2 linked regions of the Rattus norvegicus genome follow. The protein of the gene in region 1 interacts with the protein of each later gene in a pairwise test. Links are inferred from orthologs where the notes say so. Each region holds a gene or a part of one and is shown in the gene's direction. Other genes may lie near its edges.

Evidence for each region.
Region 2: the proteins of Grn (region 1) and Smad9 interact in binary tests that used the Homo sapiens proteins (3 or more experiments, as listed by UniProt). The link is inferred for Rattus norvegicus from reciprocal best matches to the Homo sapiens genes GRN and SMAD9.

What each region holds. Positions count from the first base shown.
Region 1 is NC_086028.1:87,886,166-87,891,222, forward strand, and holds the start of Grn (progranulin isoform a precursor), read left to right. Parts: upstream 1-1,668; 5' UTR 1,669-1,685; coding exon 1,686-1,717; exon of another isoform or gene 1,718-1,869; intron 1,870-4,051; coding exon 4,052-4,196; intron 4,197-4,308; coding exon 4,309-4,434; intron 4,435-4,556; coding exon 4,557-4,641; intron 4,642-4,996; coding exon 4,997-5,057. UniProt on the Homo sapiens protein: Secreted protein that acts as a key regulator of lysosomal function and as a growth factor involved in inflammation, wound healing and cell proliferation. Regulates protein trafficking to lysosomes, and also the activity of lysosomal enzymes.
Region 2 is NC_086020.1:141,105,066-141,109,889, forward strand, and holds the start of Smad9 (mothers against decapentaplegic homolog 9), read left to right. Parts: upstream 1-1,602; 5' UTR 1,603-1,751; intron 1,752-4,824. UniProt on the Homo sapiens protein: Transcriptional modulator activated by BMP (bone morphogenetic proteins) type 1 receptor kinase. SMAD9 is a receptor-regulated SMAD (R-SMAD).

The sequences.
Region 1 (5,057 bases):
CTAATCCCAGCACGGCATAAACTAAACATGGCTATCTGCCCTTGCAATTGTGGCGCTTGCGTGGTGGGAGCAGAAAACAAGAAGTTCTGGGTCATTCTCAGCCACTTATCAAGTTGAAGTCCGGAACACAGGAAACCCTGACTCAGAGGGAGAGCTGCAATGTCGCTGAGGTTGGTTTCCAACTCCTGGGGTTAAGCAACCTCCCTTCCTCAACCTCCACATCATGGCTGTGTCTCACTAGAAGCCTAAGCCGTGGTCTGTTTTGGGGATACCTATACGAATGTCATGGAACACCTACGCTAACATCGTCAGGGTACCGAATTATGTTAGATTCTCTGCTCCAGTCTTACACACTTTCCGAGACTCCTGGAGCTCCAGTGTAAGAAGCCCTCATGGAATTCCACAAGCCCGCACTCCTCTCGGTGCAGAACTCCCACTGTCCTGAATTGTGTGGCTGACCCCGTGATCCTGACTGGCCTCCCAGTAAAGGTTTCTGCTTCTAGGGGTAGGAGTGGGGTAACCTAGCTTCCACCTTGAAAGCAAACACAGTCTTTTCTCCAAGGCCCAGCCTTGGCCTTTCTTAGAGTCTGTCTTCTTGGCCCTTCTCCAATCACCGTCTCTGTCTGGCCAGGCCCTTTGGCACTCAGCAGCCTGGCTCTTGTTTCTGGCTAATCTGTTCTACAGCTTAAAATTTCTCTATTCTCCCACCATAACAATTCCTCGAAGGTGGGGACAGCTGAAACAAGGAAACCCCTTGATCTCCACAGTCACCAGCCTGCTCCACAAGCCCACGCCCCACACTTAGTGCGAGTCCAAAGGCCCTTATCTTGAACGTGGCTTTCAATCCTTACTAGAGGCTGTCTTTCCTATCTAGTTTCAAGTTCCTCGGTCCCGCCGAATCAACCTCTTTTTTTCGGAGCTGGGGACCGAACCCAGGGCCTTGCACTTGCTAGGCAAGTGCTCTACAACTGAGCTAAATCCCCAACCCCTCGAATCAACCTCTTAAAGTTCTTTCAGATTCAACTTAATGCTGCACTATCAAGCAGGATTTTAATCTCTTCTTCCCTAACCTTGAGCTAATCTCCTGTCTTCTCTCTGCACACATCTATAGTGACTGGTGCTCGCTTTTGAACTTTTATTAGATTTAGTCTAAGCCACTCTCCCCGTTCAAACCAGGGGACTATTTATCCTCACCCTCACAACCATCTTTCAACTTCTTTCGAGTCCTGGCTGCCAGGCGTGAAAAGGCAGAGAATGTACAAAAGTCGCGATCCAGAAGCAGACACTCTCCAGTAAACGACCTTGAACGTGTGCCCTCAGGGCAGCTCTCTTAACTGTTGGTGGCCTTAGGCAAGCGGTGTCTGGTCTCACAACACCCTGCCGGGCGCCGCCAGAACCCGGGGTTAAATGCAACCAAACAAGCTAGAGCTGCCCTGGGGGAGGCGGGCTATGCTGTCATATGATTCTCTAATCACATGATCCCTAGAAATGGGGTGTGGGGAGACAGAGGAAAGGGAGGAGGAATGTGAAATGAGTAGAAAAAGAAACACAGCATTCCTGGAGAGTCCCGCCTCTACGTAGACAAGTAACCAATGAAAGCCCTGGATCTCTGAGCCATGGCTAATGGAAATTGAGGTGGGCGGGCCATCGCGCGGCCAAGCCCTAGTCCTGGAGCTGACCGCCAGATGCCTCCCAGGGAGCGCGGACCCCGACGCAGGTAGGAGGATCCTTTGCAGATATCTCCCCCGCTACTGTCCAGAGGCCTGACCAGGCTGCTGTGCAATTGAGGGTCCTCTGGAGTCTCAGCTCAGAGACAAGAGAAGACCTGCCTCTTGAAACTCCTCTAGGGGTTTCTGATGCACTAACGAGGTTTTTTTTTCTTTTCTTTTTTTTTTTGGGGGGGGGGACGAGCGGTTGTCGTAGATACCCCCAGTAAGAGGCTCCTCTTGCCCAGCATGTTGGAAAGCTGCAGGCCTTTCTCCAGGGCAGGAACCACCCCACTCTTGGGCCAGCTCCTCTGTCTGTACCTGCCACCTGTCTCCAGGTCCCGGCTCTTTCTCTTTCTGATGCTGCAAGTGGTCTCCGCGGCGGCGTGCAGTGGGTGGGGAGTCTCCCGCCCTTGGTCCCCAGAGCTCAGAAGGGTTGGGGGCAGGACCCGGGCCTGATGGCTGAATCCCTGGGTTGTGTCAGTTGTATTTCCTTTCTTGGGGGCGAGAGAGCTAACTTCCGCCTGCCTCTCCCCGCCACTTTTCCCTGCTCCTTCTCATTAGGATTGGCTCACCTTTTCGGAAATTCATCTCCCCTTGACACTCGGAGATGGGGGGTGCCACCTAGTGGAAGATGCCGGAGCTAGGGCTTTGAAAGGCTCCGGTTCTCCCTGGCTGTGTAATGTAGAGGTGGTCAGGGGCTCACCACTCCCCAGTCCTATTGAGAGGAATTGGGTCTCCCTTACCCCTTCCTGGTTAGGAAATGGCCTCTGGGATTTTTTTTTTTATGTGGGTGGGGGTTAGGTTAAAGAGCACTTGGAAGGACCTAAAAAAGGAAAGAGAGGGGGTTGGGGGAGACGACAGATCCTTCTATGTAGCCTAGGCTGGCCTGGGATTCACCTTGTAGCCCAGGCTGCCCTCGGATTCACCTTGTAGCCCAAGTTGGCCTGGCACTTGCAACCCTCCTACCTCAGCCTCTCAAATGCTGGGATCAAAAGCATGCCTGCCATGCGTGGGTGGCATTTCCTGCCTTTTGTAGCCACCAGTGTCCAGGCAGAGATTGAAGACTTGAGACACAGGGAAGGAACAATTTCTGAGGCCCTCAGTCATAGATTAGAGTGTTACTTCCAGGACTAAAACCCAACTGCAGCTTCAACGAAGTCCCTGTACCCACCCTGCTTCTATCCTGCTTGGGTCACCTGCCAAGAAATCTTCTGCCCCATCCCTCTGCACCTCTGGCCTCTGGGAATCAGGGTCCTTCCCTGGCAATGACCAGAGACAACGGTTGGCATATGAACCCAGTCTAATACCCTGTCTTTTCCCCCCTGGCTTGATCCTTAGGCATGGATTTGAAAAGTGAAAGTAATATTTTAATTATTGCTTTTCATAGATTGCTGAGAAATACAGTGAGAGGGGAAAATGGCTCCCTGGAGGGTCTTTGAATATTACTGGGTTTGCTGCTCTAGGCAGAATAACATCTTTCTGGGTTGCTGGGTAGACCATCTGAGCTGGGAAAAGGCTTATAGGGAAGTGAGAGGTTCAGTTCCTCCTGCTGAGGCAGAGAGTCAGTGAAGAGGTCCACTGGTTCTTCCCACTTGCAGCTGAGTTTCGATTTCTGATCAGGGAGAGACAGAGGCAGTCTGTTTGAGGAGTCCAAAAGGACCCTGGTGATGTCCGGAAGGCCTCATCATGAAGTTAGCTTTGAGGCTGACCTAGCCTCTGTGTCCCCTTCCCTTGAGTGGGGTGGGGACAGTTGTGGGTAGGCAGTGGCTGGCCCATAGGGAAGCCAGCCCAGACCCCACTGGCCACAGTACTTCTGTTTTTACAACTTTCTCCACCGCTAGGTTTCCCATATGATCATGTGACTGATGACTCTGTCCCCCAAGGCCTTTGAAAGCTACAGGTGGCAGACAGTTTGGTACCAGGCCGGGGTGGAGTTAGGCGGGCGGGATGGTGTGGGGCTGGCTTCCTCTTATGGCTGCTAAAGTCTCTTCTGCCTCCCAATTAGTCCTCAGTTCCATAAATCAAAGCCACAAAAGCCACATGCCTTCCCGACTGTCATAACCCCCTCCCCTCCTCTCCACGCACTCAGACTCTCAGGCGTTAGGCCATATGAATCGACACTGGTGTTCCTGCCAACATTCATGCTCACAGTGAGTGCAAGCTGACACACGAGTGCCGTGCACGGGTAGGGCGCTGACTCGAGCGACACATCTGCCTGCTTTCCCGTTGAGAATGCTCAATAAACCCAAGGCCTTGGCCTGAGCACAGGGGAATGCACAGCCTTGGAGTAGAAGGTGGCACAGGCTTCAAGATGGCTGCCAGACTTTGCTTGGCATTTGCAGGCAGACCATGTGGATCCTGGTGAGCTGGCTGGCCTTAGTGGCAAGGCTGGTGGCTGGAACACAGTGCCCAGATGGTCAATTCTGCCCTGTTGCCTGCTGCCTTGACCAGGGAGGAGCCAACTACAGCTGCTGTAACCCTCTTCTGGTGAGTGTCTCATGCCCCAGTTGGCAGCCTGGGCTTTCTGAAGGACTGTCTACCTCAGATTGGCCAGAGGACTGGCACAGATCCTTTGATTGATGTCATCTCTTCTTTCCAGGACACATGGCCTATAATAACGAGCCGTCGTCTAGATGGCTCCTGCCAGATCCGTGACCACTGTCCTGATGGCTACTCTTGTCTTCTCACTGTGTCTGGGACTTCCAGCTGCTGCCCGTTCTCTGAGGTGAGGCCGCCATTGGCTTAGGGGAACAGGAGATTGATTAAGATCTGCATTTACCCCTTTCCTTCACTCTTCTAGTCCCAGGCAAAAGGGTCTTGCTCACACAGGTGTCTCTTCGTCCATAGGGTGTATCTTGTGATGATGGCCAGCACTGCTGCCCCCGGGGCTTCCACTGTAGTGTGGATGGGAAATCCTGCTCTCAGATATCAGGTGCTGTGGGGCACAGGGGAGGGGGCACGTGGGGACGGACATCAGGAGTTACCTGAAGTGCCCAGGAGCCCAACTGCCTGGGTGGCCCTGGGAGGGGCAGTTCTGAGAGAAGAAGGTGACAGACACTCCAGCGTTGTGGGACACAGAGAGGCCGTGCCGGAGTGATTTGAGCACCAGCCCAGTTTCACTGGATGTCTTAGCAGTAGGGGCTAGCTAGCTGGTGGGGTCCTGGGAGATCACCTAAGCCCTGGGACTGACCGCTAAGCCTCCTGCAGCTGGACCTGCAGTTCCTTCAGTGATGGTACTGGTACTTGACCAACTGGATTAATGGAATTCTGGATTCTTGGATCTGCAGATAGCCTCTTGGGTGCTGTCCAGTGTCCTGGTAGCCAGTTCGAATGTCCTGACTCCGCCAC
Region 2 (4,824 bases), on another chromosome or scaffold:
GGAGCTGACAGTGAGGATGTTCGCAGTCTGCCCAACAGGTATATTCTCCCAGAAAATGGAGATCTTAGCAATGATTTTCAGGTCTCTAGCCAACATTATAAAGGAATTATCACCACATCACAGCTGCTGACTGTCTGGTTTCCTGTGCATTTCTACAACACAGTGCTTTGGTGGAAAAGAATTATGTTTCTATTAGATGATCAAAAAAAAAAAAATAGCAGAAGAAGATAGAGATGAGAATTTTTACAACCAGAACAGTCAATAGAAACCAGTCAGCATGAGTGTTGGTCCCCAGGGCTGGTGTTTGCTCTTTCTTGAATCCCACCAGGTCTTACTGCTTTATCTCCCTAACCTTTAGGGAGTAAAGTCCAGAAGGACAGAGTGCACCCACAGGCCTCTCCCACTCCTACCCCCAAGAGACTTCTATGACTTCGCAGACCCCACTGCAGAAGCCTGAGCCTGCCTAGCAGAAGTCTCCAGTGCTTTGTGCTCTCCTGGAAGGAGGAAACGGAGGACCATTTCTCTCTTTAATATCATTTCAGGAGGAGGGAAAAATCCCTGAGCCACAAGGCATCGATTCAGAGAACCTATTTTGTTTACTTGCCTCAAAGCCCACACGAAGCACAGTCCTCATCCAGCCAATGGCTTTCCATGTTCCCACCACTGGACAGCATTTCTTCTGGGGTTTCTTCCTCTCCCAGGTCAATCCCAAAAAAGGAAAATGGCGGTTGCAGCAGGGCATGTGAGCCAGGTGAAGAAAGACACTTTCAATCTGAAGTTAAAGTGTCATTTAAACTTGTGTGATCTGTTTTTATAAGCAAGGCTCTCCTGGGCTACACTTGGATGATGATGCAAAAATAATTCCAGAAAGTGGGGGTTTGGGGATTAGGAAAAGAAGTTCAACTGAAGGACTTTCATTTACATTTCAAAGGTGCCTTGGCCTCTGGAGGATGTTTGTGCTCTGGGGCTGACTGAGGTGGCCCTGTACCATCCTCTTCCTCCTATTGGAAGACCTGTAAAGTCTGGTGGGGAATCAAAGGCCCTTGGCACACCAGTGCCACTTTCCAAGTGGCATTTCAGAGGCAGGCAACCTAGGAGACAGCCAGGCCACCGGGCAGGAAGGTTCCTTGTGTCCATGATGTATCTATATCATGAGTAGCGTGTATTATACACTGGGTAAGAAATCACAACCTACATATTACAGGACTAGTTTGAAACTCTGCCTGCCACTCAGTTCATTTAGCTGTTCTTGGGCTGATGCCAGGGCAAGCCATGCCTCGGAGGAACAGACAGCCAGTAAGCATGGCCTCCAGGGACCAGGACTCTGCGGTTCAAGAGACAGGCACGGTTGGTGGTCCTGTCTGCCTCTCCGGGAGGTGGTGGTGGGGGCACAGCCCTCCTCCCTCTGCAGCCTGCAGTTGGTCCAGATGGGAAGGACACTTCTGGGGATAACCTGGAGACTCCTCTGTCCCTGAAGGCTATCTGCTGGCACGATGTGCAGGGCAGGCGGATGCGCGGCGGGGCGGGGAGCGTGGCGCGGCCAGGGCGCTTGGCCCCTCCTGGCTGGAGCTGCGCGCACGGCCGCCTGGCGCCCTTCCAGCGCGGCGCACTCACGCGGGCGGCCGAGGAGGAGGCTCCAGCCTGACTGACGCCTCTGGAGCCGCTGTCTCGGTCCCGCCGCCGCCCGGCCGGCCCTGCAGCTACCCGCACAACCGGAGTGCGCGGGGGCACGCGTGGCACTGCGCGGACAGGTAAGCGCTGCCATGCCGCGGGCGTGGGCACTCGGGAAGCCCCTGTGGTCCTCGGGCGTGGGGCTTGGCTCTCCATGGAGCCTGGGTGGTGTCTGTAGTGTGCGAGGGCTCCGCGGCATCCTGGCACCTGGAACACATTGCAGGACGCGTGGCCCGAGGCGTGGGCAGGGATGTGGGATGCGCGTGGGCAGAGTGCAGAAGTGCAGAAGTGTCCTGCACCTAGAGACAGTCACCCTGGAGCTCAGCTCTGGGAAGTAGCCCTTTGCTGGGGAGAGTGACAGGAGAGAGGCTAGTGTGCGTAAGGTAGTCATTGTGACTCTGGGGGAGATTTTAAAACTCCAGGGCACCCTTGGCTACGAAGGCTTATTTCATATTCCTGTAATTTTTTTTCTTCTCTGCTTACCTTTGAGGCACACACAGTGAGAAAGAGAGGGAAAAAGTTAGGAATGTTAAGTGTCTGTAGCTAGCACTTGGGTTGTGTTTGTCTTCTCCTGGGCCTACCATTGGGTGCCAGCGCTGCGCAGACGGGAGGGGGGCGAGGTGGGGACAGATGCAGGCGACTGACTGACGCCGGCCTTGTGGGAGGAGGAGTGTGGGGAACCTTCTTATGGGTGGCTAATCGCTGCACTTCTTACTCCCTCCCCTGTCCCCTCCCTTGACCATGGCAATTGAAAATGATAGTTTTGAGGTCCTCCGTTAGCATATTTCTGGGCTGGAACTGGTACTCATTGAGAAATAACCTACAAATGATGTGGATCTCTTTTTGGAAACAAATTGTATGTAATTCGGTCGAATGCACAGCCACAGAAGACTAGGAATCACTTTTCCTTTTAGGATGACCGTTCGGTGGTTTGCTGACTTTCTGTAAAAAAAATGTAATTAGCAACCAGAGTGGAGAATAACAGTAGTCTTCGGCCCTTTAAGTGATGCCTCTTCCTAGGCCATTCCCCGGGAATATTTGTGGTTGTGAAATGTGCTAGCATGCCTGTCAATGAGAGGGAATGCCTTCGGATGTTTACATGGAAGGACTATCCATCTATATGTAAAAAGGAAGTCAAAATACAGCCCGAACCCACTCTATAGCAAATGACTAGGATTCAATGCTCTGCCTTTAGAGAACATGATTCTGGATCACTTTCAAGTCTGTGGTTGGTTATTCAAGGACATCGCTGTTAAGAAACCGGGGTGGCGGTTTATAAATAAGGAACCTTTAAAATATGATAAGATTATCAAAGCGCCAAATATTTCTGAAAACATATGTGTAGTGGCAAGGTTCCTTGATGACAAGGCGGCTTCCTGCAAGCCAGCATCTGCTGAGTCTGTCCTGACACTAAGGTCCCCACTTTACTCTTCGTCAGGGTGCTCCCCTCTCCTCCCCTTGCCCCCTACCTCCAGCCAGTTTGAGCTATGCTTTGGAGAATGCTTGCACAGTCTGGATCCAGCCAGCTCACTTAACCAGTAGCATTTTCTGAAAATCAGAGACAAATTAAAGTTAACCTCAAGCACTTGACAAGTCTTTTAAAGTCAGCGAGAGACACTTGGTGTTTTCTTTATTAAATAATTTTTTTTCCTTTTACTGACATATTCCCCAGTTAATGAGCAAATCAGAAAATATTCACCAGTATCCAAGCTACTGCATCTCTGATAACCTAAGACAGAGGAAGGAAAAAGAAACATTTCCATTATAGGAAACTTCGTCACAGTTATCTAAGCACTGCAGAAATGGTAAATTTTGTGTATCTTTTCTGATCATGTGGTCAAATTGGAGGAGAGAAAAAAAAACCCCAAGAAACTATTCTTTCATATCCATGAAAGAATTTAATATCAGCTTTACAAATAATGGAGCTCTGATGGACAGGAGTGCAATGTGTTTTGCCAAGCTGGAGAGAGATGGATGGTCACTGCCTGCCGCATTAAGGCAGCTGATTACATCTGACCTTCCCTCCCTCTCTAGTACAAGAACACAGTCTCATCATCATGCTCCTATATGATCTAAATCATACTTACCCAGGGGTATGCTCCAGTGGTGGGAAGCTCAGGGCTATGATAGAAACATTCCTGTTTTATTTTTTGAAACATGGCATTAAATCCTAATGTTTTAACAGAGCTTAGTGTGGACTTCTGTTTATTCTTGTGCGGACCGAGGAATTCAGAAACGGCTGTATCCAGAATAAACCAGTAAACTGGGTGGAGGTTGAAAGTGCGGATCCCCTCAAATTGTTGCGATCCTCGACTGTTGGGGTGTTGGTCCCTTTGTGATTTTTGTCAGTGATTTGGAAAGTCGCCTAAGTTTTATTTTGATGCCGTGAGCAGGCAGTAGGGTGTTGTGTTAACCTGGTGAAGGTCTGTGTAAGAACAGGGACAGAGTAAAGTAAACAGATATTCCCTGGCAGTGAACTAACCTCTAAAAGCAAATACTCCTGGAAATTATGTCTGTGCCGACCCAAGTCATTAGGATTTTAAGAATAATGCCAGCATTAAATGCTATCAGGACCATGACAACTGGGTACTCATCTTGATGTGTCTTCACCCTGCTAGCAGTTGAAACCTAGATTCCCCCCTGGTCTGCCTCACACAGGGTGCCCTCTGCCAGACTTACTTTTTCATGCCTCCCATTGGGGTTTCAAGAGTGAGTTACAGTTTCCCATGCACACCAGACTTTCCTCTTATCGGCCTATTTCCCTGAACCTAGGCTCAGTCTCAGAAAGCCTCTCCCTCTGCCCTCGTCTCCCACCAGAGCCCCGTATTTGCTGGACAACTCCTCATTTTGTAGATTCTGTCCAAGTGCTACCGGCAGGATTTTCTCTGATAACCTTAGTGGGGGGGATGTCCTCCGGTGAGCCCTTTGACTCTCCTGTGTGGCTTTGCAGAACATGCTCTAACAACACTTACTCTTCCTCTCAGGTGGTCCTTAAAGGTCAGGAGGGAACTGAGCTTCCTCTGCCTTCTCCCCCTTTACTGTTGACTGCAGTGCCTGGCTCAGGACTCGGTCAGTAGATATTCATTAAGTGAAAAACTCTCTTTATTGAGGCCGTTCCCTTCTGAAATAAAATCTATAAGAGAATTTTACCCG